Elephas maximus indicus: one gene and its partner. Each later gene encodes a partner of the first gene's protein in a complex. Links are inferred from orthologs where the notes say so. Each region holds a gene or a part of one and is shown on either strand. Other genes may lie near its edges. The genes, in order: S100A10 and HLTF.

Region 1 (16,591 bases):
TGGGTCCTTTCAGCACCAACCTCTAGTCATTAGTCCAACCTAACAGCTCTAGTTTCTTTCTTGTATCTTGATCACAGAATATCATTTTCCCACTGCCCAAGCCCTAGGAAATGCTATCAAGGGCATGAGCGAATGGGGCAGGATGCCAGCCTAAATCACAGCCTTCATCTCGAGCCAAACAGAAAAACCAAACCCAGTACCGTCAAGACGATCCCGACTCATCTCAAGCCAGCTGGGTAATTTTCTTTTTTTTTTTTAGTTGTCAGTCCTCTGCTTTCCAGACAAGGCTTCCTACTCCTTATTCTGCCACTCAGGAGACAACAAATCTCATGCACAGCTACTCACTCTGTGGCCAGCAGAGGGTCCCACAGCATTAGTTAGAAAGCAACGACACACCCTCTCCCAGTCTAAATTGTAAATACTGCCCAAAGCACCCCACAGCGGCCTCCCCTAGCTTCCAGCCAACAGGGCTGCCTGGAAACCCCAGAGCTAGCTGCTGGCTAGCATTGCTGAGGCATCAGCTCACACCAAGCAGTCAGCATTTCACAAGAGGTTTGAGTCACCAGGGCACCATGGAAGCACATTTCTGTTGCTCTGAGCCCTCCCCAGCCACATTCCAGCACCACCAATGAAGGCAGAGGATCTGTGGCTGAAGTAACTGTTTACCCTTTGATAGAGGCCCCAGAGCTTCTGCCTGAAACACCACTTGTTCTCAAGTTCTAATGAAGCAAAGAAAAACATGTTATCAGACTAGCAGACAACAGCTCACAATGGGCAGGTCATGTCTTGCAGAGTTCTCCCCCACTGCCAAGGTTCTTAGGACTCAGACAAGCTGGAGTTCTATTCCAGACTAATTACTTAACTCAAGGTACAGGGTGTTTTTGTTTTTTTCTCCTCTTTGGAAGAGATCCACAGCAGGAACTGAGAAATCAAGTTTTCTAGTGTCATGGTTAAAAATTAGTAGTGAAGGCCTAGTGTTACAGATTGAATTGTGCCTCCCCTCCTCCTAAAAAAATAGTGGTTTCTCCTTCGTTATGTTAATAAGGTCATATCAGTATAACCCATCACCATCAAGTCAAGTCCAACTCATAGCAACCCTATAGTACAGAATAGAACTGCCCCATAGAGCTTCCAAGGAGCGCCTGGTGGATTCCAACTGCTGACCTTGTGGTTAGCAGCCATAAATAGCTCTTAACCACTACGCCACCAGGGTTTCCTACCAGTGTAAGCTGGGTCCTAAAGCTCATTACTTCTGAGTGATAAAAAGATCAGAATAGACACAGAGACACACAAGGGGGAAAGCAGACAATATGTGAGGATCAGCTACAGGCCAAGAACACCGAGGAACCAAGAAATGTCCAGGGGCAGTTCTATTCTGTCCTATAGGGTCGCTATGAGTCGAAATCGACTCAATGGCAATGAGTTACTAGCAAGGAGGAAACCAAAACATGACTAAGACCCTGATTTGGACTTTCAGTGTCCAGAACTGTGAAAAAATAAGTTTCTGTTCCTTAAAGCTACCCACTTGTAGTATTTGTATCACAGAAGCCCTAGGTAACTTCGATACCTAGAATTTCCAGATTTTCCTGTCACCCACCCCAACCCATTACATAAGCAAACCCACAAATTTGTAACTGGTTTTCATCCTGGTTTCGTTTATCTCTTTTCTGGGTGTTTTTTAAGAGGCTGGACATAGTCAGCAAAATATTTAAAAATTACTAAAGGACTTCAAGGGACTGGTTCCTACCTTCGAGATGACTGCACATAAATACAGTATAATCCCCACAATAACCCACCTCCCAGGATAGGGATCTGAAACCCATTTTATGGCTGAGGAAATAAAGAGTGCATAGGTGGCAGTTACAAGGCCATGGTGAGAAAGGCCACAGAAAAGCGGTCATAGCACCGCCACATCCCTGTGAGGTAGGTATTACTATCAGATCCAGTTTACAGATGAAAAAACTGAGGTTTGGAGAGGTTAGGTGGCTTGTCCAAAATCCCATAGCTAATTGTGGCAGAGATAATAAAATTCACTTCCAAGTCTCCCTGAAACTGCACAGCCTGTGCTCTTACCCACTGTGTTCTGTAGCCTTCTATCTCTCCAACCTCATCTGTGTCACCCTCCCCTTGCTCGCCCTGCTTCAGACACACTGAAAAAAAAAAAAAAAAAAAGAAAGCCAAACCCATTGCCATTGAGTTGATTGAACTCATAGTGACCCTATAGGGACCCTGTAGGAGAGAGTAGAACTGCCCCATTTTCCAAGGAGTGTCTGTGGATCCGAACTGCTGACCTTTTAGTTAGCAGCTGCAGCTCTTAACCTCTAGGGTTTCCTCGGACACACTGATTGTTTTTAATTCCCTTATCAGACCAAGCTCCCTCCCACCTCCAACCCTTTCCAAATGCTCTCCTTTCTGCCTGGAAAGCTTCCTCCTGCCTCTTCTTTATTTGCAAACCCTAGTTCCTCTTCTTCCTCCAAGTCTTAAACGCCCCCACCTTGGTACAGCCTTCCCTGACTTTCTACCTAGAACCTGTCCCCTTTGATTCCTCTATCAGTCATACCACTCATTTCAAATTACCAATTTTTTGTTTGTTTGCTTTATTATCCCCCTTCTTTGTACTTTGTCTTTTCCGTGAGAATGTGAGGCCCATGAAGGCAGAAATTTGATTGTTTTGGTCATTGCTCTATGCTTTGTTCCCAGAAAGTGCAGGAATTAGTAAGTGCTCAGTAAATATTTGATAAATTATTATCAGAATTTGAAGCTCACCTATAGAATAAAGCAGATGGTTTCCAACCCCAAGCTAAGAGCTCTCCCGTGCTTTAAAAAAAAAAAAAAAGGCTACAGTCCTTCAGCTTCTATTGCTCCAAGAGCTACGTTAGCACAAAAGGAACCTCAGTTCAGTCTTCCTCCCTCTTTCTCCCTGTCCCCTAGAGAGGACTCTGCTCCAAAATGTTCACCCATAAATCACACACCAGGGACTTGGACCACTGAACAGCCTGCCTTAAACTCCCTAAGGAATTAAGCTGAGTGAAGGAAGCACAGAGAAGGTGAGGGTCTACTTATTCTTAGCAAACTCCCTGCTGGGGCTCGCTAAATGCCTTCATGATCATTGGCTTGTCCAGTCTTTTCTGTTGCCCCAAGAGATAGCTGTCAATCCCCATTCTACCAATAAGGAGACTTGGGTTCACAGTGATGAAATGACTGGCCCAGAGTCATGTACCTGGTAAGTAGGAGAGTCACTCACTCCCTGCTTAACATTCCCAGTGGCTCCTTCTTACCTTCAGAAAAAAGCTCCAAGACTCAGCAGAGTATCTAAGGTGCCCCAGGACAGGTACCCCCTCAGGACTCATTTCCATCTAAGGCCCTAGGGGCTCTACACTGTCCCCGTGCAGAACTGAAGGCAAGTCCTGAAATAGACATGCTTCCCCACAATTCCATGGCAATGCTTTTTCCTCTCGGCCTCCACAAAAATCCTCCTTGTCCTCTAAGATCCACATAAAACAAAAAAGTTGACAACCCCTAACAAAAATCTATCCTAAGAAAATAAGCATTTGAGAAAATATATCTGCTCAAAAACAGTTACTTTATATACAATTATTCTGAAAGCAAAAAATTAGAAACAACCTAAACATTCAAAAATATGGAACACATTTAACAATTATAATATCTCCCTATTTATGTATACCAGTACAGACACCTTTGGGGTTTTGTTTGTTTGGATTTCCAGCAGAAAGTCTTGACCAAATACTTGTAAATCAGTGGTTGTAAACTGACATACCATGGATGACTACTGTGATTCCTTAACCCAAACCAAAAACCAAACCATTTGCCATCGAGTAGATTCTGACTCATGGCAACCTCACATACTACAGAGTAGAACTGCTCCACAGGATTTTCTTTCCTGTAACTTCACAGAAACAAATCACTAGGCCTTTCTTCCACAGTACCACTGGGTGGGTTCAAACCACCAAACTTTAGGCTGGCAGTCAAGTGTAAACCATTTGAACCATTTAGAGACCTGAAACCTTAATAAAAAACCAAAAAAACCACTAGGCCACCAGGGTTTCCGAAACCTTAATAAGGCATTTTAATTGATGGATAAAGTTTACTTTTGCTACAACTATGATTCACACTGTTAACATAGTGTCTGGGCAGGCAGAATGTTAAGCTAGGCTGCACATGGTTTCTGTGTGCTGCACGGTACAACTTGATACACATAAGGAAACAAAGAAACTATATGCATTCCCTAAGACCTGCAAGAACTTTGTCTCATGAGTATCAAAGACTGAGCGATCACAGCAACAACTGTTCTACTCAGTGATCAGTGCTATATAAACCAAAAAAACAAACCCAGTGCCGTGGAGTCGATTCTGACTCATAGCGACCCTATAGGACAGAGTAGAACTGCCCCCATAGAGTTTTCAAGGAGCACCTGGCAGATTTGAACTGCCGACACTTTGGTTAGCAGCCATAGCACTTAACCAGTACGCCACCAGGGTTTCCATCAGTACTATAGTATAGTTAATATACATGCAACTTAATCCTTTCAAATGTGCTGCCAAAAATGCTGGCACTCAAAAGAAGCCCACTGTTTGATAGGGCTATGTTGAAACAAATAAACTTCCAAATTTCAGTTTTCTTTTTTACCCATATAACTATTCCAAAGCTGGTTGGTCTTCCTGATCAGCAGGTGGTTTTCCTCCACACTGTGATTCAGGGACCCAGGCTCCTTCCAACTGTGGCTCTTCCACCCCTAGAGGCACCTGGCAATTGGAGAGAGAGTGCAGAAAAGTCACCGCTGTTGCTTTAGTTGGCAAGCGACACACATCACTTCCTATTCTGCATTTGGCCACCAAGTGACACACCACACTGTCCCATTCTGGTCACAGGATCCCACCTAGGTGCAAGAGGTGCTGGGAACGTAATCCTTGGCTGAGCAGCCACTTCTCAGAGACAACTCTACACTATAGAAGGAGGAACACACATTTCTGTTAGACAGCCCGCCCTCTCTGCCACAGCCACCAACCCCCCAAAAAACTGGAAACCACTGGGTAATGGGGTTTTGTTGTTATGTGACATGAAGAAGTGGGAAAGTACCCAGGAAAACAATCCCTCCTGCTCCCGGCGTTTAGTGCACTGGAACCTGCCAGAAGTCTGGTGGAGAACTTGAACGTCGCCTCCTCTTCATTCCAGAGACACACCGGCTTGAGCCTCTGTTTCGTTTCCTCTGATGGCCATTCATTCTGCTCCTCTCCTCACCTCATCCCTTCACCCCCTGCTACAGCACCAGCCTTCCTGGCAGCTTGGGTTCAGGCTCTGGTCCCTGACTTCATTGCACGCATGTGGTTTACAAGGCACAACTACTTTCTGAGAAAGACCTGCCTGGGACCACTTCTCCTAGAAAAGGATTATAGGCATGGCAGGCTTAGAGCTTTATGGAGCAACTGATCCATAAATCATTAACAAGCTACATGAGAGCAGGGATAGTGTCCAGCATGCTGACCTTTTTCCCTACTGTATCTTCAGCATTTAACACAGCGTTTCAGAAACCCAAGTTCCTTCCCTTTTGTGAAGCTGGATCCACTAGGGCCTCAGAGTCCTCAGATTTCAGCTGGCAGGCAGGAAAGAGAGACGAGAGAAGCCACATTGCAGGTGAAAAGTTACTTGTTGAATGAAAAAACATAAAGGAATGAGCAAATGTACACTCACATTCCTGATAGATATTTAATGACATAAAAAATAGTAAAGATAAAGTATCACATGATAAAAGTAAAATAATTTGATAATCAGTGTAATCACAAATTGTAAATATATGTATATATGCATAAGACTGGAAGGCGATACATAAAGATATTTATCTTTGGTTCATGGGTTTACAAATTATTTTTTTTTTATATATTGCTATATTTTCCAAATCTTCTATAATAAAAAAGTAATCTTTTTACAATCAGATTTAAAAATCACAGTGTCGTTGCTTCCAGGTGGCTCAAACAACATTGTTGTTGGTAGTAGCCGTCACGTAAATTGTGACTCATGGTGACCCCGTGTGTGCACAGTAGAACTGTGTTCCAGGGGGTTTTCAAGGCTGTGATTGTTCAGGAGCAGATCACCAGGCCTTTCTTCCAAGGCCCCTTTGGGTGGGTTTGAACTGCCAACCTTTCAGCTAGTAGCCAAGCACTTAACCATCTGTACCACCTAGGGACTCCTGCATTATTGTGATTTTTAAAACATCTGTCAAATGTTGCTTCCCAAAAAAAATCATCCTGTGACTACTCCAAGGTGATTTGGAAGCCCTTCCTTAATGTTCCCATGGCGTCCAGAACACATGCCTCTGCCATTCACTAATCACACTAGATTTTAATTGTTTGCTTATCTATCTCCCAGTAAGACTTGGAGCACTTGAGGAAAGGAACTGATTCTTTAATCTCTGAATCCCCAGAGCCTAGCACATGCAGTAAGCATTCCTTAAGGTTTACTGACCAAATGAAGAAATTAAATAAGTGAATTGTGGTTGTGTGCCATTCAGTAGATTACAACTCGTAGTGATCAATGTGACAGAGCAGAACAGGACTGCCCCATGGGGTTTCCTAGGCTGTAATCTTTACAGGAGCAGATGGCCAGGTCTCTTCTCCTCCTCGGAGCTGCTGGTGGGTTCAAAATGCCAACCTTTCCTTAGCATCAGAGAGCTTAACTACTGCACTACAGGGCTCCTAAATGAGTAAATCCAGTTGCATCTTTCCAGGGACAAAAGGGACCCAGGATCGTCTCCACTGTGACTGTAAACTGAGGCCTGATATGAATTTGGGAAGTACATGGGAAGATTCTGAAGAACTGCCCCTGAAAAGTCAGCACCAGTGCAGGCAAGAGCTGAATTCCAAGTTGGATTTTCCTGGCAACAGTCAAGCTTAGCCACGTGGTAGCACTTGGAGGATTCCCTGAGTCTGCTCATTCCTTTGGGATCACTCACTCCTTCAGGATCTCCCCTGGGAAAGAAGTGTGAAGGAAAATCCCAGGGTTTGGGACTCATTCCTTTTCTGCCAATTGTTGCTAGCAGTTTACATTAAACCCTAAACCACAACTAAAATTATTAATGTCTAAGGTGTCACGGAGGGTGGCAGGTAGAATCCGGTAACAAACACCTAGGTTTTCTTTAAATTTCTTCAAGAAATTTCTAAAGATTTTGAGGGCCCAGCAGGCAGGCCAATTACAGAACAAAAAGAAGGTTTTGAACCTTCGGTTTTAACAGTTTTTTTTTTTTAGCCCAACTGAAGCTGAGCTATTGACCAAGTGAAGCCACATAAGCCGTGAAGGGTAAATCCCTTGTTCAACAAAGGGTCTGAAAAACCTCTAGAGCTGACAAGCCAAACACTCCCCTCCCTCCAGCACCACAGCGAGTCAGGCGGTCGGGGAGGGCGGCTTCTTCTGTAAATGCACGCGGATCCGGACCACAGGCCGCGGAAAGCCAGGGCTGATATCCCAGAACCTAATTCTAGAACAACTAAGTCTGCAGCGAACGCCTTCGCGGTGGTTAAGATTTCACGTGCCCCTCCCTGCAATGTCGTCTAGAAAATGTAATCCCTAGACCTTTTTGCGGGGAGACCTGTAGGTTACCGGAGAAGAGCCGCTTGCTTACAGCTGAGCTGGGTCTGGGCCAGCGCGCCCCACCCGCAGAACGACTAGGCTTTTTGATTTTCACACTCACCCACTTTCTAAAACCAAACCCGACAGGAAGGGCACGGCCGAGGGTGGGGATGGCCTGAAATATTCAAGAGTCTGAATATTCCTACTTGAAGAGGACTTTCGATAATACATGCTCACTTGGGACGAGAGAATGGCAATAGTGAAGCTCTTCTGCAAAACGAGAGCAGGGTGTCTGGGAGGCGCCCGTGGGGGGAGGGGGTGGCGTGGGGGGGGTGTGCAGGAAGAGGAGGGAGGAGACAAGGGGTGGGGTGAGTGGCGGCTGGAGCACCAGGCCAAGGCTCCTCCTGCTCCCCGCGCGGGACTCGCGCCTCCGCCCTCTCCCCCCCCCCGCCCCCACGTACTAAGGCGCAGTGCCTGCAGCGCTGCCCTCACTGGCCCTGCGTCCCAGCTCGCTGAGCGTCCGTGCCACGCCTCCCGGCCAAGGTGAGTGCCGCCGGACCCGCGCACTGCCCGTCGGCCAGGCGGGCTGTCCCTCCTGCTGTCCCAGCCCTGGCGCCTAGGGAAAGCCCCCGAGCCTGCTGCTCTGCCTGCCGGACCTGGCTTTGCGGAGCCCCGGGCACCAAGCGCCTCGGCGGGGAGCCGCTGCTGGAGAATTCGCTGCTCCACGCGCCGGGCCACACCCAGGCGAGGCGAGAGCGCCCCTCCCCGGTCCCCGCGCGGCCGTCCCCAGACCCTCGCGGGCGGGTGTGGGGCGTGCGCTGTATTTTACTACGGGACATGGATGTTGGTGCCCCTGGGCTTTTGCTCGCTCATTCTTTTTAATTTGTCTTCGTTTACGCCCACCTTTCCTGCATTTCGTCTAGTCTCCCGAGTTACTCGAACCCCGGCTTCTGGCCCCCTTTCCCGGCCGGCGTGTGTGGTTTCGTTGTGGGCTCCGGCCGCAGGCGGACCTCTGTCCAAGTGTTCGTAGCCCCCTCCGGCTAGACGACCCGAGCAGGCTTGGGGAGGGCTGGGGCGGGTTGGCAGCTGGCGGATTCCCTTCCTAAAGGAGACACCAGCCCCTCACCCAAACAGAAGCTTCAGGTCGGGCTTCCTGTTGTTTGTCTACCAGACGGGGAGATTCTCACTGCTGCGAGAGGGAGGACTATTGGTTTTCTCTATAAAGCGGGTTTTCTGTTGCTGGTGTTTTTTGTTGTTGTTGGGGGGAGACTGTGAAGCGAATCTCGACTGAATTAAGTTTTCTCTTCTTGTCATCTTCATTAAATAAGTGGCCCTGGAAAGAGATGGGGGAAGAGTAGTTTTCATGAAAGGTCTCCCAACCCCAGCGCAGTGAGACGGAGATAGAGGCCGCAGGCCATTTGTACCTCCTTCACAACTTGAACTTGGCCAAAGGAATGGAGCTTCTTTCCAGCCCTGGATGCTGCATTTCCCAGCATCGATCTTGATCCGCCTAACTGAAACCCGGGGCTTACTGCCATGTCGGGTGGGGGTGATGAGGAAAGCGGAGCCCTAGCCAAAGCTGGAATACGTTAAACCCCCCACCCTTCCCTCTCCGGACCTCTCTTCCCTCCCACGGGGAGCTGGAAGCATTCTGCAGGGCGGGGTTACCACTGGGGACTCCAGGATTCTCCTAGTGGTGAGGGGTCTATGACTCAGCTGTGAGACCATGTGGGTGTGGCCCTGCTGGTTCCAGAGACTGCAGATGGTTTGGACAGAACACTGCCTGAAGGAAAAAGGAACTGTGCCATCTTAGAGGACTCTTCCAGGAGGAAGTGAGTCACACCAGCACTGACGGGCAAGCTGAAGGAGAGTGCCTTGACTGAACTGTATTTGAGGGCAGTAATTAGACCATGGCACTGGGTTGGGGGGTTGGGGCAAGGGGAGACTGCTGGCTAGGTGATGGGCCTGCATGCTGCCTGGCAGCCTCCCTCAGCTTTCCTTGGGAGGTGGCTTTTCCTTAAGAGGTTTGCAGTGGCTACCGATTTTTTTTCGCCCTGCAGCTTGAGCTTAAATCTCTAAGACTGGATTTCTGTATCCTGTGCTTAGAGGTGAGGCGACTCATGGAAGCACCCTGTCAGTGATCTTTGCCTTCAAAGTGTTTCAGCAAATTGCAAAAGATAATGCCAAAATAAATAAATAAATAATGCCAGCGGTTGAGGCAGAAATAATGAGTTCATATAACTTTTTTCTTTTTATAACTCATTAGAAATTTCTTCATCAGCGCCGCCCCCACAGATTCCTGTCTGGATCCTATTTAATCATTCCCTTCTCCTTGAGAGCTAGAGGCTAGTTTCTTCGTTACGGTCCTTGATCCACCATTCGAAGCATCTTATTTCAGTGTTTCGCATTTTTTTTGAGGGTCAACTGGGTATAAAGCAATTGTTTGGTCTCACCCTGATGTCTAGGTCATGCTTACCCCTGGCTTTTTCCTGGATACAACATGGGATAAGTCCTTTTCCTCCCATGTCTGGCCTGTGGCCAGCCTCTCAGGCTGCCACCACAGTGAGGTCAGGCCTTTAGGCTGGGTGGAGCTGAGACGGGGTGCCTTTCTGCTTTCCACTGACATATCCAAAAATGTGGCTTTTTTAGAGCACTACCCACTTGGTATGCCCCTTGGACCCAGCCCAGTCTTTTAAAATGTAATGATGAGGGAAACAATGGAACCCTTTCAGTGTTATAATGTCTAAATTAGCATTCAGAGTGCTGGGAACATTTGATTAAAATTTTAGGATCTTTAAGCTTCTCTTTTTCCCCAGAACATAATTTCGGAATTGCCATCAAAATCCAAAACAATGAATTTACTTATTTTTTTTAGCAATTTTCAGGCTTCCTGTCCCTTCACCAAATAGCTGTCACCTACCCCCACCAAAGGATGTAATAGAGTTTGTCACAATGGCTATTGTTGGCTGATTCAGGTGGATGCTGGATAACTCTTCAAGGAAAAATGGATGTACTCTGCTGGGGACAAGGAGGCTTCTGAGTTCTTTATTCCTGTTGGGTCACATCTGGAATTTATCCTTTGCTGCCCACTTCTTTGGTGGGAAAGTTTTATTTGGTAAGAGGTGAGGGAGACAGCCTAGATCCACACCCATTGCCTCAGCTCATTATTTTTCTGAATTCCCTTTAAGGGATCAAATTCAGTTTTCAAAAAAGAAAGAAAAAAAATTGTTTTCAGAATTCCCAAAGCAAAAGGAAGGAAATCTCAAATATATTTGAAATAATAGATCTTTGTTATCACTGCCAATTATTTTCTGGGTGGTCTGTAAGAAAACTAGGGTCTGGATGAGACACTGAAGAGCAAAGTAAATCAGGCCTTTTGCTCTTTACAAGTGTCCTCTTTGAAATTACGACTGGATCCGGGCATAGGTCCAGAGCAAACATTCGGGATTGCTCAGGAGCAGACAATTTTGTAAGGAGGCCTGTTGTTCCCCTGCTACTTCCAGGTTGGTCAGATCTTACATTGTCAATCTCATGCTTACCCACTTATTGAGGAGGCACTGTGAGGGCAGGACAGTAGCTACTGGGGTCCTGCTCAGGTAGCGCACAGACTAATGAGGAAACAAATGCAAATAACTGGAATTCAGGACAGACTTTTAAGAAGTATGCCATTAGCTAGTGAACTTCTCAGAGGCAAGAACCATGCGTGTGTCTATCTGTCTGTCTGTCCCTTAGTGCCTGACACCATGCCAAGACAGGCAAAGTAGGTGCTCTGTGTGGGAGAGCCAAAAAGGGAAACTGAATTCCCATTACAGGGACTAAATTTATGGAGTCTAGAATTCTCTTCCATAGAGAAAATTACCTCGAGAAGGACTGCAGCTTCCAGGCCTCCACTCTTAAGTCGCGTTGCCCACACAAACATATACAGGCCATATCCAAGCATCAGAACGAAATGATTTAATAAAAGGCGCATGAACAGTGAGATGGTTAATATCCCATGGAGATCACCGGTGAGATAGGCATGAAGTAGAAGGTGGGATGAATGAAACATGAGAAAACACCGAGAGTGAGAGAGGAGAGGAGTCATGGCAGGGTCTGACCAGACCTGTTTAGCAGGACACATTTTTTCCTTTGCCTGTGGAATGTGTTTTTCTCTGTGCTCTACTGTTCCATTCAGAAGTGAGCCCTTTTGCGGTTCCTTCCTGGCCCTTCCCAGCTCCCACGTGTTCTCGCTGAGCTCTGAGCTCCAAGGTTTTCAGCCCAGTCCTGGGTGATCAAACCTGGACTTAGCTCCTGCCAAGGGGTCATTTGATTCATTTATCCGCTCGTTTAGCAAACAGGTCTTTAGTGGTTAACGGATAAAAGCAGAATAATTCACAATTCTTGACCATAAGGAATTTAAGTCTAAGATGGAGAGGCAGACAGACAGACTATGAAATGTGATCAAGTGGTTCAGGTGCTGGAGGAGGTGGTGGCCGTGGAGGACGCTGCTGCCTCTCAGCCCCGAGGCCCTCCCATCAGGGTACCCATCCAGGAAGCAGGAGGCCCACCGTTGCCCAGGAGTGGAGCGTGTCGGGTGGCTGGGGGGATGGAAACGCCAGTCAAGTCCCAGAACTGCTTTAGCAATCAAAGGTCAGTGCGGCAGCCCCGCCCCGCCCAGCCGCGCCCCGCCCCGCCCATGAAGGGAGGGCCTTGCCGCGCTCACTCAGTGGCGCAGGTGCTGCGCTCCAGAAAAAGGCCAACCGAGAAGGGCTACGTGTCGGTGGAGGTGATTCAGCTACTAGAGAACAGAGTCGTAGTCACAGTGTTTCCCCCCTTGTTTCTTAGTCTCTAACCAGTGTGCTGGCTCCTTCTTCAAAGCAGAGTTTCTTGTTGATAAACAAAAATAAACCAAACCCGTTGCGGTAGAGTCGATTCCAGCTTATAGCAACACTATAGCACAGAGTAGAGCTGCCCCATAGGGTTTACAAGGAGAGCCTGGTGGATTCGAACTACCCACCTTTTGGTTAGCAGCCATAACTCTTAACTACTGTGCCACCAGGGTTTCCAGCCTTGTTGATAAACCCTGATCAATACTATGAACTGAGACCAGGGCATCTCCTCTGACTTTAAACACTTAATTTCACTTTCACAACCTTACATCTCCCGGCCAGCCCCGGCTCTGCATTCTGATTGCTAAAGGTCTACTGGACAAATAGGACGTCAGCTGGCTGTTGTATTCACAACCCATTTGCTGAATAAAGCTGCCGGGAGGGGGAGGGGGAACCCAGTGGGGCAGCGGTGTGGCTTCTGAGACAAAAGCTCCATCACTTGGTAAAGTGACCTGAGACCCGAGCGCTCTCGCAGGGCGCGTAAGACTGGTTGGGAGGAAGAGATTCAAGATGGCTAGGATATCCTCACCTTTCAACTTGTATTTCTTAGAAGTTCTTGGATTAGCCTATCTTCCTGTATTAAGGGGTCTTGACCCGGGTGGCGCAGTGGTTAAGCGTTTGGATGCTAACCAAAAGGTCGACAGTTTGAATCCACCAGCTGCTCCTTGGAAACCCTATGGGGCAGCTCTCTGTCCTATAGGGTCACTATGAGTTGGAATCGACACCACGGCAACCGGTTTGGTTTTTTTCGTTTGTTTTTGCCCTACTGCAAGGAGCCCTGGTGGCGCAGTGGTTAAAGCAAAAGGTCGGTGGTTGGAATCCACCAGCCACTGGGGAGAAAGATGTAGCAGCCTGCTTCCGTAAAGATTAAAAAAAAACAAACCCACTGCCGTTGAGTCGATTACCAACTCATAGCCGTAAAGATTACAGCCTTGTAAACCCTATGGGGCAGTTCTACTGCTTCTAGGGTGGCTGTGAGCTGCAGTGGACTCCACTGCAGTGGGTTTGGTTTGTTTTGCCCTACTGCAGAGTCCCTGGGTGGCACAAATAGTTAAGCACTTGGCTACTAACTGAAAGATTCGAATCCACTCAGAGGCACCTCAAAAGAAAAGCCTGGTGGTCTACTTCTGAAAGATCACAGCTCACAGACTATTCTTGAGCCATTGAAAACCCTATGGAGCACAGTTCTACTCTGCAACGCATAGGGACACCATGAATCAATCTGCCACAGGTTTACCCTCCAGCATTCCCTTTCTTACTTCTGTGGTAGTGCACTCTGGGTTTCCTTCTGCTCTGCCCTGTGAAGAAGGTGATGTCCCACAGCACGTTTCAACTTCTAGGATCTGTAGGAATTGGAAATGAAGTGCTCTGCTGCTCTGAGCTTAGGCACAGGTATTTTTAAACATCTGTGGCACCTAACTCCTTCCCTGTGTATTTAACAAGTGGGGTAGGATTCCACGTTCATCTCCCCTGGGTGATTCACTCAGTTCATTTCTCTTAAAGCACACACGTGGCTGGACTTGCAGAACCAATCCAGGCAAGGCAGACTCCCTCTGAGTCCACTGCCATCTGAAACCCATATGGGGGATGGTGGATAAGCCAGATCTGGGTGTAGGAAGACAGGGGAAAGGGTGTGGTTTCCGCTGGTATTCATCTCCCAGTGGACTTCGCAGCCCTTTCCAAGGGAATTGCCCTCCAGATGAATTATGCCAGATTCTGGCTTATAGCATTCGCTAGAGTAGCACATTCTTTGGCACGCTGTTTCCCGTTCTTTTCTGGGGATTAAGGGATAGCGTATACAATTCTTAAGTGTAATTCCTCAGTCCTAGTGTTTACCAGCTCCACCTTCTCCTCTATAAAGGACAGCATTTAGGGATCTCTGTTGAACATGTAGTGGAGCCCTGGGTGGCCCACGGGTTAAGAGCTTGGCTGCTAACCAAAAGGTCGGCAGTTCAAATGCACCAGCTGCTCCTTAGAAACTCTATGGGGGAGTTCTACTCTGTCCTCTAGAGTTGCTATGAGTCAGAATGGACTCGATGGGAACGGGCCTGGTTTTTGGAAATCCTGGTGGCGTAGCGGTTAAGTGTTACAGCTGCTGACCAAAGGGTCGGCAGTTCGAATCCGCTAGGCGCTCCTTGGAAACTCTATGGGGCAGTTCTGCTCTGTCCTATAGGGTCACTATGAGTCTGAATCGACTTGACGGCACTGGGTTTGGTTTTGGTTTTTCTGGGTTGAACATGCATCTGTGGGCAGCAGGACCCAGGTGGAAAGCATACCTCAGGTTCCTGTTAGCACCCTTCAGAGGAGGGAAGTTGCCGGCCTCTCCTTCAGCCTGTGCTTAAAGTCAATTCTTGGGATTTTTGTGGGGGAGGGGGAAGGGTGAGTGGCATATTAGAGTCTTGGTTTAAATTCACCTGTTCCCTATCCAGTAGTGATTTTTAGGTTCTTTCCTTTTGCTCCGGGAAACCCTGGTGGTGTAGTGGTTAAATGCTACGGCTGCTAACCAAAGGGCCAGCAGTTCGAATCCACTAGGCGCTCCATGGAAACTCTATGGCGCAGTTCTACTCTGTCCTATAGGGTCAGTATGAGTCGGAATCGACTCGATGGCACTGGGTTTGGTTTTTGATTTGGGTCCTTTTGTTCTTCTCTGTTCCCTTCAGTCTAAGCTGATGGGTTTTCTGTTGTGTAGTTGGTTAGATTCCTCAGTCACAGGCTTAATCTTTTTAACAAAAGATTGTGTAGCCACGTCCTTGGTGAACATTCTAGGACACATATCCTTAGTTTGTACAACGGAATTTTCCAAATCTTTTTAAGTACTGTTTTCATTTTGCACAGTTCATTTTTAAGTCCATCTCTTTCTTCTTGCATTTTACTATAAGCAGCAAGGAGAAACCACACGGCCCCTTTAAAATCTTGCTTAGAAATCTCACCCAAGCTCATCGCTTACAAGTTGTACCTTCCACCAAACATTTGAACAGAATTCAGGGAAGTTCTCTGCCTCTGCATAAAAAGCATCGCCCTTCCTCCATTGTCAAATCACACATTTATCATTTGCTTTTAAAGCCTCACGAGGAGCACATTTAACGTCCACATTTCTAGCAACATTCTGTTGCTGGTGCCATATGTATTCTCGGAGATTAGATAGAGACTTTCTCTATAGCCTTCCTGCCTTCCTTCTGAGCCCTCGCCAGAATTGCCTTTGATGTCCATAGTTCTACCAAAAGTCTCTTCCAGGCAATCGAGGCTTTTACTATTAAACAACTATTAGGCACCTTAAAACTATTCCAGCCTCTACCCATTACCCAATTCCAAAACCGCTTCCACATTTTAGGTATCTGTTAGATACCACTCTTCTGACACCAAATTCTGTCTTAGTCATCTAGTGCTGTTATAACAGAAATCACACAAGTGGGTGGCTTTAACAAACAGGAATTTATTCTCCCACAGTTTAGGAGGCTAGAAGTCTGAATTCAGGGTGCCGGCTCTAGGAAAAGGCTTTCTCTCTCTGTCGGCTCTGAAGGAAGGTCCTTGTCTCTTCTGAGTTTATGCTCCTGTGAGATCTTCATGTGGCTTGGCATCTCACTTCCCCCATCTCTCCTCTGCTAGCTGGTTGAATCTACTTTATATCTCAAAAGAGACTGACTCAAAACACACCCTATGCTAATCCTGCCTCATTAACAAAGACAACCCATTACCAAATGGGATTATAACCACAGGCGTAGAGGATAGGATTTACAACACATATTTTGGGGAGACATAATTCAATCTATAACAGCGGTGTTAGCCAAAGCTTCTCTATTCTGGCCAAAGCATTCCTTCTAATTAAGCCAACATTCCCTGAGCTCCTATTAGGTACCAGGCATTGGGTGTTGATAACACATACTCCAACCAGATCATTACACCTGACTATAAATTTTTTTTTTTTTTTTTTATAATGACCGGCCATGTTTTCTTTCTTATAAACCTGTCAGGATGAAAAGCTCTTGCTCTCCCACCTCACCCCAGACTGTGAGAGTGGCTCTTCTGTCCAGGGCTGCAAAAAATATATCGGCCCCTACACAAGATTTAGAACTTACTGTTACTACTATTACCTGTACCTTCTCAAGTGAATGAGATAATGGGCTTGGGGTAACTTTTAGTGC
Region 2 (16,156 bases), on another chromosome or scaffold:
GTTTCATGTAGGGAGTGACTAATAAAAATTTTTCAAGCAGATATGGTTTGTAGGAAGCAACAGGGGCAATAGTTTGATGAATTGTGATGATGAACAACAATGATTTATTAGTACAATATAGTTTCCCACTATAGAGTTTTTGATTATACAAAAAGTGCATCTAGAGTTGATGTTTTGGTCTTTTAACTTCCTAGCTACACAGGAGACAGAAAAGTGCTCAGCAATCCTTGCAGTCTTCGTTAAAATAAAAAAATAACATTGGCTATGTCCATGATAAAATCCATTGACTTCAAGTCGATTCCAACTCATAGCAACCCTATGGGATGGAGGAGAACTGCTCTATAGAGTTTCCAAGGATTCAAACTGCGGAAATTTTGATTAGCATCTGAGCTGACCAAAAAAACAAAACCCACTGCTGTGGAGTCAATTCTGAGTCACCCTTAAATCATTCTACAGCCCAGACTGGCGCATGCGTGTTGCCCTGAAGCTGAGAAAAAGGCCTTGGGCAGGAAGCAAAGGAGGGGGCATATCTGAGGCTGGCCTGATGCCTCAGCAACACTCGGCGGGGGCCTGGTAAGAGCATGTAGGGAACCAAGGCCTAAAGGAGGAGGAAACAATTATCTCTTGAGAAAGGGCTGTGTCATCTGGAACACCATAGATTCTTCAGCGTGGGAGTTGGGGTCTGAGTGTCTCTTTGTTCTGGAAACAATTCGGGCTGTTTCAAGGACATGCACCTGGGAAATGAACTGGCTTCTGGCAACAGCGTTATTCTGGTATTTAGGAACAATCCTAACCATCTGTACCAGGAAGTCTACCTAAATCAACCGTATTCCTTGTCAAATGACGGAGGACTCATTAGACAATAACTCTATAACAATAATAGTCATGATAACAAGAGCGTTTACTGAGTGCTTACTTCAGGGCAGGCATTTGGCATTTGTTATTTTATGTAATTAAGAAGAATTTTTTTTGAATAAACTTTAAACCAGACAGTGAAACACAAAATAGGCAATCTGCAAAAGAGACTGCAGAGAGAAAACGAAATCTCGTCCTTTTATATAATCAGGCAGGTATAGTCTATGACATACATATCTAATTAAGAAAAATTTTACTTGGCATTAATTTTACGTTATTTCCTCTGCCCAGTCAACTGTGGTTTCACCTAGGATTCTACCCGGAATAAATGTGAGAAAATTCAATTGTAAATAACTGACTCACACACACAAAAAATTTTCTATCATTTCCTCTGCCTTATTCTCTTTGGTTACTTAAAAAGAAGGCTCAGAAATAGTATTGCACCAATGTTAATTTCCTGGCTTTGATAACTGCACTATAGCTATGCAGGGTGTTAAAGTAAATGAGGTAAGGATATGAGGGAACTCTGTACTATTTTTGCAACTTTCTGTGTCTAAAATTTGTTAATAAAAGTTAAAAATTGGTTCATAACTTCCTTACTCTAAATATTTTACATTTTTTGTTATAGCAAAAAAGCAATACATGTTTAATATAAAGAACATTTTCCATGCATATAAGGACCAAGAAGAAAATGAAAATTCCCCTAATTCAAACAGCTAGAGGTATCTGCTATATCTAGGTGTCAATTCACCGAGATATGTGTGTATATGTCTGCACAGCATATATGAACACCTATCACTAACTCTGTTTGCCAAGATAAAACTTTATTTTTGTTTATTGAACTTAATTTGTTTTAGGCCTCCGGTTTGCCTAAAAAAAAAAAAAATTAACTTAGTGACTTCCAGGTAGTTCAGTAAGGAGCCCTGGTGGTACAACGGTTAAATGTTTGGCAGCTAACCCAAAAGGTCTGTGGTCTGAACCTTCCCGCTGCTCCTCCAGAGAAAAGACCTGGCAATCTGCTCCTATAAAGACTACAGCCTAGGAAACCCTATGGGGCAGTTCTACTCTGTCCTATAGGGTTCTATGAGTTGGAATCAACTTCAAAACACAAAACAAAAATAGGCAATTCATTCATTTTAAGATTTAAGTTCTTTCAATTTCAGGTTTCAAATTCTGTCCCCTTCCTCTCACCCTCCCCCCAAAAAACTCAGCTGCCATTGAGTCAACTCTAACTCATGGGGATCCCACCTACGTGTGTTGGAGTAGAACTGTGTTCTGTAGGGTTTTCAATGGCTGATTTTTCAACAAAAGATCACCAGGCCTTTCTTCCAAGACTCAAGCCTTTAATTTTTGGTTAACAGCCAAGTGCATTAACCTTTTATACCAATCAGAGACTCCCTTATCTTCCAGGAGGATTATATTTGGATTCCATTCATTTCTGCAGGCAGCCACTGCTGATATAATTTATCCTGCTTCATCTTTGGACATCAGGCCCCTGCTTCTGGTTGCTAGAACCATGATCTGGTAAGGGCCTCCTACCTTCACTGACTCACTAGGGAGTCTCACAGGATTCTGGAAGGCTGTCCTCAGGCCCTTTCACAAAACCTTCTCCCTCACCTTCATTTCTTTATTCCTCTGGCATGTTTCTGGTCTCTGAGGCTGTGCAGATATGCAGAATACTGAAGCTACTGTAGGGAAATGAGCTACAGCTTCCTTTGCTTATGGGGTCTCTGGAAACTTTCCTGCCTTTGTGGAGCTTGGCCCAAAGTGATAGCATTCCTGATTCTTTCCCTAAGACCCTCCAAGCTTTCATTCCTGATCCTGAAAATTCTCTGGCTCTGTTGAACTTTCTCCCCTTTTGAGTGAAAGAAACAAACAAACAAGCTCTTATATTATCATTCATTTTCCTGGAATCTATTATGATGTAAACTTGGGAATTTTTTGTATGGAAGCCAGACTTTTAGAACTCCAGAGTCTTTGCCTAAGTTTTTTTTTTTTCTTTTTTTTTTTACCAAAGGCTTCAAAATTCCATTTTGTAAACCAACTGTAAAAGGACATTTTTTGAGACAATTGTGAAAATTTGATAATGAACTAGTTATTAGAATGCATCAAGGATTGATTTATTATTAATTATATTGGGTAGGGTAATGGCCTTATGGTTATATACAGTTACACTTGTGAAAGCTGGAGCCTATGTAAGGCAGAAACCTGTCAGAGAAGGAAAACTCAAACATTTTCCACTAAAACGAGCGATAGCAAAGTGTTATTAACACTACATCCTGTCAAAGGTAGAAAACTCACAAGACCCAGAAAAACAAGGCAGTCCTGTTGCATTCTGGCTCTCACAGGTTTCACTGTATAAAAGTACCTGTATTTTTTAGAGAAGTCAGTAAAGGACATTATAGGCAGTGTGGGGCGGGAAGTGACAAAAGATATGAGGCTGGAATAAGAGGGAAGGAACAGATCTTAAATAGCCACACATGCCATTCTTTGATTTCATGCTGATGGCATTAGACTGATATAATTAATTTGGACGACCAGTAGCCAAAACCAAATCTGTTTCCACTGAGTCAATTTTGACTCAGTGCGACACTATAGGACAGAGAACTGCCCCATAGGGCTTCCAAGGAGCAGGTGGTGGATTCGAACTGCCAACCTTTTGGTTAGCAGCCTAGCTCTTAACCACTGTGCAACTAGGGCTCCTCTATATGTACAGGTGTTAGGATTCCAACACATATTTTTTTTGGGGGGGGGAACAATAATTAAAGCCATTATCATCTCTTACCTGAATACAATGGTTTCTAATTATCAACTGAGGGTCCCTTTGCTTCTGTTCTTGTTTCCTGTAATTCATTAACCCCAGAACCGCCAGCGTGATTTTTTTAAAAGACTAAATCAGCTTGTCATTCTCCCGCTTCAAATATTAAATGGTTTGCCATGGCATTTAAAATAGAATACATCTTTGCTCTAGACCATGAATTCCTATGTAATCTGGCCTATACCTTCCCCATCACCCTCTTTTTATGCCACTCTCCTCCTCACAACCACACAAGCCACCCTACTACAGTTTTGTTTCTTTTCAGTTACAAATGTTTAGTTCATTTTCCAGAAAACATCTAGTGTGATATTTTCGAATTTGTAACTGTTGTAACATTTCAATCCAACTAGTACAAACTGCACTTAACCTCATTTTTTTTTTTAAAAAAGAAAGGACAAAGAATAATGAGACAGAACCCCCACAGTGCTATGTTCTTCCTCCCCTACAGTGTTGTATTGCAAAATTGTTTCCTTTGCTGAGCTCCCCCACTCAGCTTTGCATCTGAGTGCTGCTTTTCCTTGGAGATTCTATGTAAAACCAATTGCACCTGAATCATACCATCAGGAATGTTGCTGATGTAAGTTGTAGGAACTCCCTACTTGCAAACCCCTTTAAAAAGTAACCTGCCTGCCTGCCTTTGGGGAGCAGGTCGGCAGCATTAGCTCCAACTGACTCCATTTTCCTTGTACAAGGAAATACAGGTGACTTTCTTATTCTCCCACCTCCATCTCTCGTTTATTGGCCAATACGAGTCACGCCGAGTTAAGAACCTGGGGTTTCCACCCAGTAACAATCATGAAGTAAAAAACTGTGTCCAACCTGAACTGGTGGATCTGAGATGTAAGATAGTAACAATAGCGAGAAAAATGTTGACCTTAAACAGCAAAATTTTTACTTCATTCGAGAGGCAATCTTCAGCCATGGGGGTGTCATTATTCATAGATCTTAGGTCTAGAAAGAGCTAGGATCGCCTATATTCTCACATAATTTTATCTTTCTGTCTAATGAGCATGGATTCATTATTTTACAGGCAAAACATTATCGATCTGAGCATTTTCTGGCATATTTTCAAAGAATTTATGCAGAATTTGGCGCACCAAAAATGGAACTGCATTCCACTTGCCACTTAATACTTCAAGAAGAAAGGAAAATAACTAAGATACTTGAAATGCTACTATCTTCGTCTTCCTCATCGTCTGCCTTCTGTTTGGTGAGATAAATCAATAAATTGCTGCAAAACCTATCTCTCACTGCACTGCTGGCTCATGTTTACCAGCTGCCCTCTAGCTGATTGCGACTCATGACAGCCCACGTGTGTCAGAATAGAACAGTGCTCCATAAAGTTTTCAACACCTGATTTTTCAGAAGTTGATTGCTGGGACTTTCTAGGTGCCTGGGGATGGGCTTGAATTCCAACCTTTTGGTTAACAGCCTAGCATGGTTAACAGTTTGCACCACTCAGGGACTCTGGCTCAAGTTTACGGATCATCATAGTTTATTTAGGAGCCCTGGTGGCAAAGTGGTTAAGCACTCAGCCGCTACCCAAAAAGTTTGTGGTTCAAATCCACCAGCTGCTGCGAGGAAGAAAGATGTGACAGTCTGCTTCCGTAAAGATTTACAGCCTTGGAAACCTCAATGGGCAGTCCTACTCTGTCCTACGGGTTGATAATGCAATGGGTATAGTTTATTTAGGAAAATGAACAAATGTCTCTAGAAAAACTGCTTTACTGACTGCCTCTCTTACTCTCTTAATGGGACTGTAAAACGGAGCATTCTTTGAAGGGCAATTGTCAATATTTATCACATTTACAAATACATTTGCTCTTTGATCCCAGCAATTGTTTTCTGACAATCTGACAACTGCAATGTGCAAGTAGGTGTGGCTCAGAGCCATTACCAGCTTCATCCAATTCTGGTGCAGCTGAACCAAAAAGGCCTCTCTAATTGGTAGCAGCCTCTCTTTGGCTCCCAAGGCCGCAGAGCCGGCTGGTACCCGTCCTGCATGCCCTGGGCTACAGCCGCCTCACTGGCCCACCTACCAAAGGCTGAGTTCCCCTCAGACTCCTGCAATCTGGCCATGGAGTGTCTTGGACTGCCCCTAACAGTTCGTGGAGGAAAACAAGCTCCTTCCCTGGGGCAGCTACACGTGCCTCAGGGAAAACTTTGACCCAACCATTTCCAGCAATGGCTTTTGAGTTATCAATGCCCACAGAAACAGCAGTCAAGAAATCAAAAGACACACTGCACTGGACAATTCTGCTGCAAAAGACTTCTTTAAAGTATCATAAAGATATTACTTTGATGATTAAGATGCAGCTGACCCAAGCAGTGAAGCCGTGGTCTTTTCAACAGCCTCATATGCATGCAAAAGCTGGACAATTAAAAAGGAAGATCAGAGGAGAATTGGCACATTTGAATTGCGGTGTTGGCGAAGAATATTTAAAATACCTGGACTCCCAGAAGAACGAACAATTCAGCCTTGGAGGAAGTATAGCCAGGTGCTGCTTAGAAGTTAGGATGGCGAGACTCCATCTTGCTTACTTTGGACATGTCATCAGGAAAGACCAATCACTAGAAAAAGACACCATGTTTGGTAAAGAGTCATCAGGAGCCAGAGAAACCCTGCGTGAGATGCATGGGTGGATTATGCAATATGCAAGGTAAACACAGTCCTTACCTTGCTTACCAGATCATCTGTAGTGAACAATTCCACATTTTTTCACCACATCAAAAATTTTGCTTCCAGGTATGGCTGGCATCTGTCTCCCTCCCAGCCCCACAGCACCTCCCTACAGAATCAAAGCCTCTTTTCAAATTTACAACCCCTGACAGTAAGCAGGGTAAGCACAGGTTTACTTCTACCTACTTACTAATACGTAGTGCAGTTTCACACGGGTTTCACTTTGATGTGGCATGGTGAAATCCGTGTTAAATTGTTCACTAGAGATTAGTAAGCACAAGGAAGTCCGCACTTACTTTGTTTACTAGGTAATCCACCCCTGGTGAAATGGATTGACATGCTGGTTGCAACAATGCGTTCAAATTCTCCAAGGATTGTGAGGTTGGAGCAGGACCTGTTTCCTTCTATTATACATAAGGTTGCCTGAATCAGAACGATCAGACAGCAACTAAAAATAACAGTGCTGTGCTTTCCTGCATTAAGAAATGATAAATTTAATTAAAAACAACAACAAACACAACCAAAGTGGGAGAGGTGCTCTATAACTCTAAGTTCCAATTAAGATTTTCTGAAAACCGTCCAACTCATAAAACCAAAAACCAAACCCATTGCCATCGAGTCGATTCCGACTCTTAGCGATCCTAAGGACAAAGAACTGCCCCGTAGGGTTTCCGGGAAGCGGCTGGTGGATTCCAACTTATTCAATGGGAGACCCTATTCCATGTCCCATCAGAGGAGGAGAATATTGGAGGCAGGATCAGGGAGGGACTGAAGAATGAGGCTGAGGCTTAAGGCTGGGGGGGAAAGAGGAATGAAGAGACACTGCCCTGCGTTTGACGCAGAAAATCAAACAGAAAACCTAGTATCACGGGCACCGCAATCGGGCCCCGGGGACCGCGTGGCTTTCCCGCCCGCCCGCATTGGGGGCGGGGAAGGACCCGGATGGTCCCACCCCTGCAGCCCGGGCCCCCACCTTCGGTACATCGGAGCGCGGGGCGGAGTCGCCTTCCCCTCCGTGTTCTGATTGGCTTGTCTCCGTAGGCTCTTCTTCGCGATTGGACGCGCTCAGCGCCAGTCACACAGGGTCGCCGGTCTCTCGGATTGTTGGTAGCAGGGACAGCGTCGACGCCTGACTGGATTCGCGGCGTTTTATCGTCTAGTGGGGCGCTCTTCCTCGGGCGCTTGGAACCTGTCTCCGGCTTCCCGGCCGCGGGGCCTGGAAGGAGGCGTCCCCAGGCGACTGGAGAACGTTCCGGGGGCGCTCAGGAGCTCCCCTCGCCGCCCCGCGCAGCGCCATGTCCTGGATGTTCAGGAGGTACAGCGGCCGGAGGGGTGGGGCGCTGGGGTTAACCGAGCGGCGGCGTCCCCAGATGAACCTGACCTTCCCCGCGCCCCTGCCGCGCTTCCTCTGCTGTTTGCGCCGCTCGTATTTGTGGTGCCCGTCGCTCCTGGGGCCGCGGAAGAAATAAAGGCTGCAGATGGGTGGCCCCCCAGGCGAGTCTTAGGCCAGGGCCTTGGGAGGTCTCTGTCACGGGCTGTGGGGGCCTGGGGCTCCGTAGCCAGGATTCCGGCCGTGCTTTATTCCCCTAGCCGTCCCCTAGGGAGCCACTGTGCGCTGGCGTTGTGCTCGGGATGGAGGGCCGAGTGGCAGAGTCCTTGCCCCCGAGGGGCTTTGATCGGTTTATGAGCGTGCACAGACGTGCAGACACAGGCTTCCAGGGGAGCCAGAGAGGTCTGCGTGATGTGCGAGGCAAACGCAGGGAAAGGAGCGACTGCCCGAAAACCCAGTGCCGTCGAGTCGATTCCGACTCACAGCGACCCTACAGGACAGAGTAGAATTGCCCCATAGAGTTTCCAAGGAGCGCCTGGCGGATCCGAACTGTGGACCCTTCGGTTAGCAGCCGTAGCACTTAAACCACTACACCAGCAGGGTTTTAGGAGAGGGGAAACTTCCTGAAGGCCCCCCGCCCACCACACTCGCCCTCACTTTCATTGTCTGAATCGCTCTTCATGCCAATTCTGCATCATTTTATCCACGAGGGGCCTGGGGTGGTCCTGGAACCAGCGGGGAGAGGGCGGGGCTTGAGGTCAGCTCCCCGTGATGGCAGGGTTTGACTACCTGAGTGAGATAAGGATTCTTTGCGGAGGAAACGAAAGCAGTGAATGCTGCATAAGCTATCCGTGTCTACTGTAATAATCCAGGGATGGGCTGGATTATCTGTAAATATAGAAATTGCTGAGCCGTTTTGGCAAGTCTCTTCTAGCTCAATCCACATTGAAATATTGGCCTATAAGTGTAGTTACAGACATCACACATATACCATCTCATATAGATTGGTTATCCTTAGGCTAATCAAGAAATTTGTGAACACTGAACTCTGGTGGCATAATGCTTAAGAGCTACAGCTGCTAACCAAAAGGTCATCAGTTCGAATCCACCAGGCGCTCCTTGGAAACCCTATGAGGCAATTCTACTCTGTCCTTTAGGGTCGAAGTCAACTGGACGGCAATGGGGTTAGTGTTTTTTTTTTTTCCCATTCTGAATACCTTGGGTGTGGAGGAGGTTATGTTCAACAGGTAAGGTTCCTGGAAACCTCTCCTGCCCCAATCTCTGTTTTAACCAGGGTAACTCTTAGTGTATATTCAATGGTTCACACATTTGATTTCGTTTGCTGTGTGAGTAAAGTGTGAGAAAACTGGCCTATAGATAACTGGTATGGTCTTTGAGAAATACCTGGTTAAATATTGTAGTGTTTTTCGGTGACGACTTTTTTTTTTTTTTTTAAATAGAGATCCTGTTTGGAAGTACTTGCAGACTGTCCAGTATGGAGTCCATGGAAATTTTTCACGCCTTTCATACCCTACTTTCTTTCCCCGTTTTGAATTCCAAGATATTATCCCTCCAGACGACTTCCTAACTAGTGATGAAGAGCTAGATTCTGTTTTATTTGGAACTTTGAGAGGTCATGTTGTTGGACTACGCTATTATACAGGAGTAGTGAGTATAAAGTAGATATTAAGTTAAATTGTGACATATTTATGGTGTTAACCTAGAAAATAAGAGAATCTAAAAGGGGATATGTGCAGTTAATATTTATTTTTACTCTAAGTAATTGAATATATCCAGGCAAGAGATAATAGATAACTGAACTACTTTGACTTAATATTCTCTTATGCTTACAGTATACAAAGCACTTTGCCTGCACTGTTTCATTTGATCCCAGCAATAACTCTGAGGCAGATGGGACATCTGTATCCCCTTTTTATAATGAAGGAACTGAAGCTCAGAAAGGGGCTAAACATTTTGCCCAAAACACACGGATTACTAAATGGTGTATTTGGGAATGACTTCCCAGTCCATTGCCTTCTCCTCTTCTGGCCCTTAGTGCATTTCTGCATTTTAATTTTGGAAGATCAGCTCCTGCTGTGTAAGCGAATTGTCTATTGTTAAGAGCTTTTTGTCTTTTTTCTTTTCCTGTAGTGAAGACTGTCCCTGTCTCCCATTTTTTCTTTTCTTTTGTGCCTGTCTTTTTGTAGCTCTCTATCCTCTGCATTTTGTCTGTGTTGCGCGCGCGAGCGCGCGTGTGTGTCCGAAAGAGAATGTAACTTTCTCTGGTCGGTAATTTGTTATGGTGGTCTAGTATGCCTCTGTGTTACGTAATTTTGTTTATTATGAAAAATTTAAAACATACATAAAAGTAGACTATAAACTCCTGTATAACCATGATCTATATTCAACTGTTCACAAGATCTTTCCATATCTGCTTCGTGTATCCCTTTTTCCTTTTCTTTGTTCTTTTGTACTTTAAAGGAAATCCCAAACATATCAACATTTTACACCTGTATAATTCAGTGTGTATCTTTTTAAAACTACATTTTTGTGTCATTTGTATAGTGAAAGTTAATAATTTCTTCTTACATGTAAGAAGTAATTCATAATCAGATTTTCTTGTCTTTTTATAGTTGGTTTTTTCAAATCAGCATCAAAAGAAGGTTCATACATTACCTTTGGTTATTATACCTCGTAACCCTCCTGCCGTTTTTTTTCATGTCATTGACTTATTGTAGAAACCAGCTGTGTTATTCTGTAGAATGTTCTAGATTTGTTGCTTCTTCCACTGCCCCATGTTTTTCTTAGGTTGAAGCTTCTCAGATCGTTTTTTGGTTGTCTGAATCATGTTCTGCAGGAGATTTCCTTGCGTAGAAATTTTATGTTCTGGATTTGTCTATGCTTCTGTTTTCCCAATTTTTTTTTTATATTGAAAGTTTTTTTCAAGTCATTCTGTAGTTGTCTGAAAGATATTTACTAGGAAATTCTATGGAAAGGAACAATGTTTCCTCAGTTTTTACGTGTTCATAGTTGAGGAGTTTATACTTGAAGGGCAGTTTTGCTGAATATGTAATCCTTGGCCCATGTTTTCTTCCTATGTTACCTTAACGTTGCATAAAATATTACTGGTGAGAATCTTGATGCCAGTAGGGTTTTATCTCCCATATAAGTGTATTGGAATTTTTTTGCCTGGATGACCAAAGAATGTTTTTCCTTATCTTGAAAGTCCAATTGTTTTGTTATGGTATGTCTTACTTAGTATTGACTCTTCTGTAAGTTCAAATTTCCTTTTATTTCAGAAAATTTTCTGTAGCTTTAAATGTTTGTTTTGTTTCATAGCTTTAGTTTTTCTTCACTAATCTCTCTGTATGTTAGACTTTCTCAGCCCATGTCTATTATTTCCTTTGAAATCCTTTTTATTGCTTTCCTAATTTTCGTCATTTATTTCCCTTGCCATGTTTTTCACAAGTTCTGGTCACTCTTGTGTTATTTCTGCTTTTGTCTTCAATCCAGAAATGGTTTTTCTTTTTTCTAATTATTTCCTGAATTCTATTGGTTCTTATTTTATATCCATCTCTTGCCTAACCATGTAATTTCTATGCTTTTCTATTTCTGATTTGTTCTATTTTTTTTTAACTTATGTTGTTTTCTAAATTACTTTAAACAATGGTAAAATATTAGGTTATGGTTTTCTGCTGTGTTATTACTCTGAGCACAATCACTATTTGATATCAGAACAATCTTTATGACATTGGTAATCTAATAAAAATGTGGTAGGCCGATTAAAAGTCATCAGCATTTAATTTCTTCATTTTTTAAAAAAGGTGTGTTGTTTATTTTATATGTAATGCTGATGAAAAGTCATTAGCATTTAATTTCTTTATTTTTACAAAGGTGTATTATTTATTTTATATGTAATACATGTTCATTATTTTAAAAAATGGCTAAAAGAAAAAAAGAATTAAATCACCCTAACACCTACCATTCAGAACCATACCTTATTCACATTGATGTTTCTTCCACAATTTTCTCTGTGTGCATGTAAATTGCAATCATATTGTATATTAATAAAAATGAGGTCATATTATCCTACTATTGTGATTATCTCTTTCTGTTAGGTCAAATACAAACAGCTTTGCAAGTGGGTCTTCTAGGGAACCACCAGACTGGTCAAATAATGATAATTCTTTGGGAATGAGACTTTCTTTTTCGTTGCAGAAAGTGTATAAGACACATTTGCCAATTCAACACTTTTAACGTGTATAATTCAATACATTGATCATATTCATGATATTGTGTGACCATTTACCCCTGTCTTTTTCCAAATTACTCTGTCACCATTAATGGAAACTCAGTGCCTGAGAGTGAGACATTGAAAGAACTTTATCCATTCTGCTTCCTCTAGTCCCTGTCAGGCTACGTCAGGAATGCCAGTAGGCTTTTATTCTTAAAGGCTACCGTGTAGTTGGAGAGCAGGGGATGGGACTATGGCACTGATAACTCAGTTATTTTTCTTGAACTAATGCTATTCAGGTTGTCATAAGCCTTTTGCTAGTTTCCAGAGTTGCTTTTATGGAAGAGAAAGTTCTTGGAGGTCCTTACTTTGCCATCTTCAATGATAACACTCTTGGGCAACTTTCAGTCACGTGAAATCAGAGAATGGCATTAATTGAAGGCAGGATATATTTTTCTTATTCCAGTTCTTGTCTGCCTTATAATTAACACCTTTATTTTTCACTTTTAGATTTTGGAAAACTGAGGCTGAGGAACCAGGCTGCCTGGGTTCAGATCTCAGCTCTGCTCATAACTTTATGACCATGAACAAGTTACTTAACTTTTCTATGCTTTAATTTCTTCATCTGTAAGATGGGGATAATGATAGTAACTGCCCTACAAGTCTGTGAGGATTTAACAGGTCAATCCATTTAATGTACGTAGAATAATGTTTAGCATATAGTAGGCACTCAGTAAAGGTTTGCTGTTTTTCAGAAGTTGTGATATTAGAAATTTTAGATAGTGTAAATCTGTGAGCTTTTAGATATCAGGAATTTCTTAACTTCCCAATGAATGTAAATTAGAAAAGCACTATAAAAAGAATTACTATAAAATATATTCTTTAATTTTTCTATGGTTTGCTTTCAAGAAAAATGCTTTTCTTATATGATGTTTATCAGTAAGCATTAAAAAATAGATAAAATATGATGAAGTAAAGTGTTAACTTCTGCTCATTATTTTTGTTAGGTTAATAATAATGAAATGGTTGCTTTACAACGAGAGCCTAATAACCCCTATGATAAGAATGCGATTAAAGTAAACAACGTGAATGGAAATCAGGTTGGCCATGTTAAGAAAGATCTTGCAGCTGCTTTGGCCTATATCATGGACAACAAGTTGGCTCAAGTTGAAGGGTAATGTACTTTGAGAGTTTAGTTTTAATAATTGGGGATTGGTAGTTAACTCTGAACTTGTTAAGGCTCCTTGCTAGCGCCTGTGTAGGTACTCTAAAAACATTTTTAAAAATTGTGATAAATCTATAAAAACCCTCTCCTTGTTTATCGACATGGTTAGATTCCAAAGACCAGGTTGTTAAGCAAAATCAGTGTTACGTGAAAGTGGAGGATGACCAAATCAGCTGACAAAACGGAGGAGGACTACATCATTGCATAACTGCCAAGCTGCATCATTACATAACTGCCAAACCACTGGAAATCATGGCCCAGCCAAGTTAACACAAAACCTTAACCATCAAAGCCAGCATTGCTCTTGCCTCACACCTTGGCATTCGTTACTACCAGGCTTATGTTGTTAATGTGCAACATAGTTGGATAGTAGCTTTTTCTACTAATGTCATAAATGTGAATGTTGGATAACAAGGTAGTCGATAAGTGAGGAGGTGTGTAACAGATCATTTGCCATTTTGACATTTTTTACACGTACCATTCAGTGACATCAGTTACGTTCATCATGTTGTGCAACCTACATCACCTAAGAACTTTTATTACTGCACCTTTAGTATGTATTTAGTAAGTGTTTTCATCCTCTCTTAAGTCTCCACTACTCCAGCTATGAAACAGGTATCCTCTCACTTTCCTACTGGAGAAATATAGACTTTGGTTCAAATATTAGGAAATCCATACGTCTCTCAAAATCTTTGGTTACATAGGCTTGGGAGTCTGGAAGTGTTTAAATCAGGGGTTATAAACTGGCAGCCTGTCATCAGATGTAGCCAAGTTTCAGCTGGCACAGTGTTAAAACTTTTTTCATTCATTTTAGCATTCAAATATCAGGGTGTTTCTCATTTTATATGTATTAGCTTTTCTTTCTAAACGTAAAATGTATTTACAGAGATTTTCTCTTGACAAATGGGATATCTGGCAATGGTAGACCCTCATTCCCACGTGGCATCAGTTGACTGGAGCTGAGTAGCAGCTGTTTGTTGGGATGGGGCGCACATAAACTTTCTAGTTTCACCACTTCTTTTTTTTTAAACTCTGAGCCTCTTTAGTTATCTTTTTTTTTTTTCAAGGCATTTATGTTTCTGATCTCTTCAAATATTTGGAATATTTAGGATATGAAAAGGTGAGTTTGGATGGTAAACTGCTTAGCTGTGTCTTCCTTTACTTGTTTTCTCCTTTTTAAATTCAAGTTTTTAAGGTATTGAGAATAAACTTTTAATGAATTGTGCATCAGAAATAGTTGTTATGAAGCATTTCCCATTCTCCCAGCACAACTGGTTTGCTGTCTTTGGTGGCCCTATTAACCAAAGCTGTTATCCTCTTATACTGTTTTACCTATCTTATAATCTTTGTCACAGGCTATGCTTGTATTTTAAAATTGCTTTATCCTACTTTCTCAGTTTCTTCTGGCAGTCTGTTCTTAAAATCTACTATTTTCTGGTTGTTGTTGATTCTATTCCCTGTCCTTTTCCTCTTTTTCTGGTCTGTCCAACCTAGTTCCTTTTTATTTTATTCGCATGCAGCATTTGAATGGTACACTTAGAATATTTAACAGATTCTCAATGGTAAAAAAAAAATTCACACTTCTAATTTCACACTTTTTTCTCCCCAAAATACAATAGGGTAGTTCCTTTTGGTGCAAACAATGCTTTTACCATGCCTCTCCATATGGCTTTTTGGGGAAAAGAAGAAAATAGAAAAGCAGTTTTAGATCAGCTGAAGAAACATGGATTTAAACTGATTCCTCCACCAAAAAGTAAGTTTAGGGTTTTGTTGACTATTATTTTGATTGTAAAACGTTTATTCTCTTAAGTAATACTTTGAGTTTGGTTGGCCAAACTAATTTGGGGTAAAGGTTCCAAGTTACAACTTTTTTTTAGGCATCTCTTTAAGGAAATTCCAGATTTATTGTTTTAACTCTTTATTTTCAAATAATTAAAGGTTCACAGGGAGTTGCAAAAACAAACAAAAACATTTGCTGGAAGGTGTCCTATATACCCTTTACTCTGTTTCTTTTGGTGGTAACATCTCTAAATCCTGAATTTTCAGCATTCTTACTGATAAATTATAGACAAGAAGAAAAGGATTGTTTGGCAAGAGTTTGCTCAAATAACATGGAATTATTTTAATACTTTTTTTTAATGGTTTAGGATTTAGCTTTTTTTTTTTTTTTAAAAGACCTATTAAGGGAATTTTTAATATAGTTTATTATGTAAGTTTGAAAACTACTTAATGCAAAAAATGCCTATTTCGTGATTTTGTTTTCGTTTTGTAAACTAACAGCTTTAGGATTCAGTGTGGAAAGTGGTTGGGGCTCTGGAAGAGCGGGACCAAGCTACAGTATGCCAGTTCACGCTGCAGTGCAGATGACGACTGAACAGGTGTGCTTCTCTTTTATTTTGTAATCCAAATTTGAATTGAAAATGTTGAGGGTCGAGGTGTTAAAAAGGAAAAGGCAAATATGTATATGCAAATATTAACGATCTTCGTACATGTTGTTAAGTTATAATTGTAGAATAGGGTACATACATATTTGTAAACGTTTATGTAAAAAGAAGGAGGTGATAAGGAAATATATTCCGTACACACGTATTTATACATACATAAAGACACATGACTATATGTGGGATGTTTTTCTATTTTTTGAAATTTTTACAATGTAAAAATGAAATTTTTTATAGTATTAATTTTTTTAAAAAGTAATTCTTGAAACTTCCTGTTATTTTTCTTAGTCATTGTTAAAAGGGCTTGAGTCTGTGTGTGGTGGGTAAGCCTCAAGTTACTTCTAATTTTTTAGACCTGGCTTGATTTCTTCTAGACTGCTGCTGTATGTTTAAGTCCTAATTTATAAAAGTATAACACATACTTGTTGCCATGAAATTGAACTCAGTCAAGTTAAATAAAGAAATTAGTGTAGCACTGAAATCATCCTAATACCTTATACCACATAGTAAGTTTCTGTTGCAGTAGTAACAAATGGAATGTCATTTACTGAAAAAGATTCAGTTGCACCTGGT

The links.
Region 2: the proteins of S100A10 (region 1) and HLTF are in contact, whole or in part, in a crystal structure (PDB 4HRE), measured with the Homo sapiens proteins. The link is inferred for Elephas maximus indicus from reciprocal best matches to the Homo sapiens genes S100A10 and HLTF. Residues at the interface, in NP_002957.1 of Homo sapiens: Phe42, Asp58, Leu59, Asp60, Gln61, Gln70, Ser74, Leu75, Ala77, Gly78, Leu79, Ile81, Ala82, Tyr86; in NP_001305864.1 of Homo sapiens: Thr32, Phe33, Phe34, Pro35, Phe37, Phe39.

The regions. Positions count from the first base shown.
Region 1 is NC_064821.1:186,183,923-186,200,513, reverse strand, and holds the start of S100A10 (protein S100-A10), read left to right. Parts: upstream 1-8,015; 5' UTR 8,016-8,124; intron 8,125-8,158; exon of another isoform or gene 8,159-8,330; intron 8,331-16,591. UniProt on the Homo sapiens protein: Because S100A10 induces the dimerization of ANXA2/p36, it may function as a regulator of protein phosphorylation in that the ANXA2 monomer is the preferred target (in vitro) of tyrosine-specific kinase.
Region 2 is NC_064841.1:10,841,055-10,857,210, forward strand, and holds the start of HLTF (helicase-like transcription factor), read left to right. Parts: upstream 1-7,437; 5' UTR 7,438-7,648; coding exon 7,649-7,668; intron 7,669-9,143; coding exon 9,144-9,351; intron 9,352-9,369; exon of another isoform or gene 9,370-9,781; intron 9,782-12,924; coding exon 12,925-13,091; intron 13,092-14,761; coding exon 14,762-14,895; intron 14,896-15,422; coding exon 15,423-15,520; intron 15,521-16,156. UniProt on the Homo sapiens protein: Has both helicase and E3 ubiquitin ligase activities. Possesses intrinsic ATP-dependent nucleosome-remodeling activity; This activity may be required for transcriptional activation or repression of specific target promoters.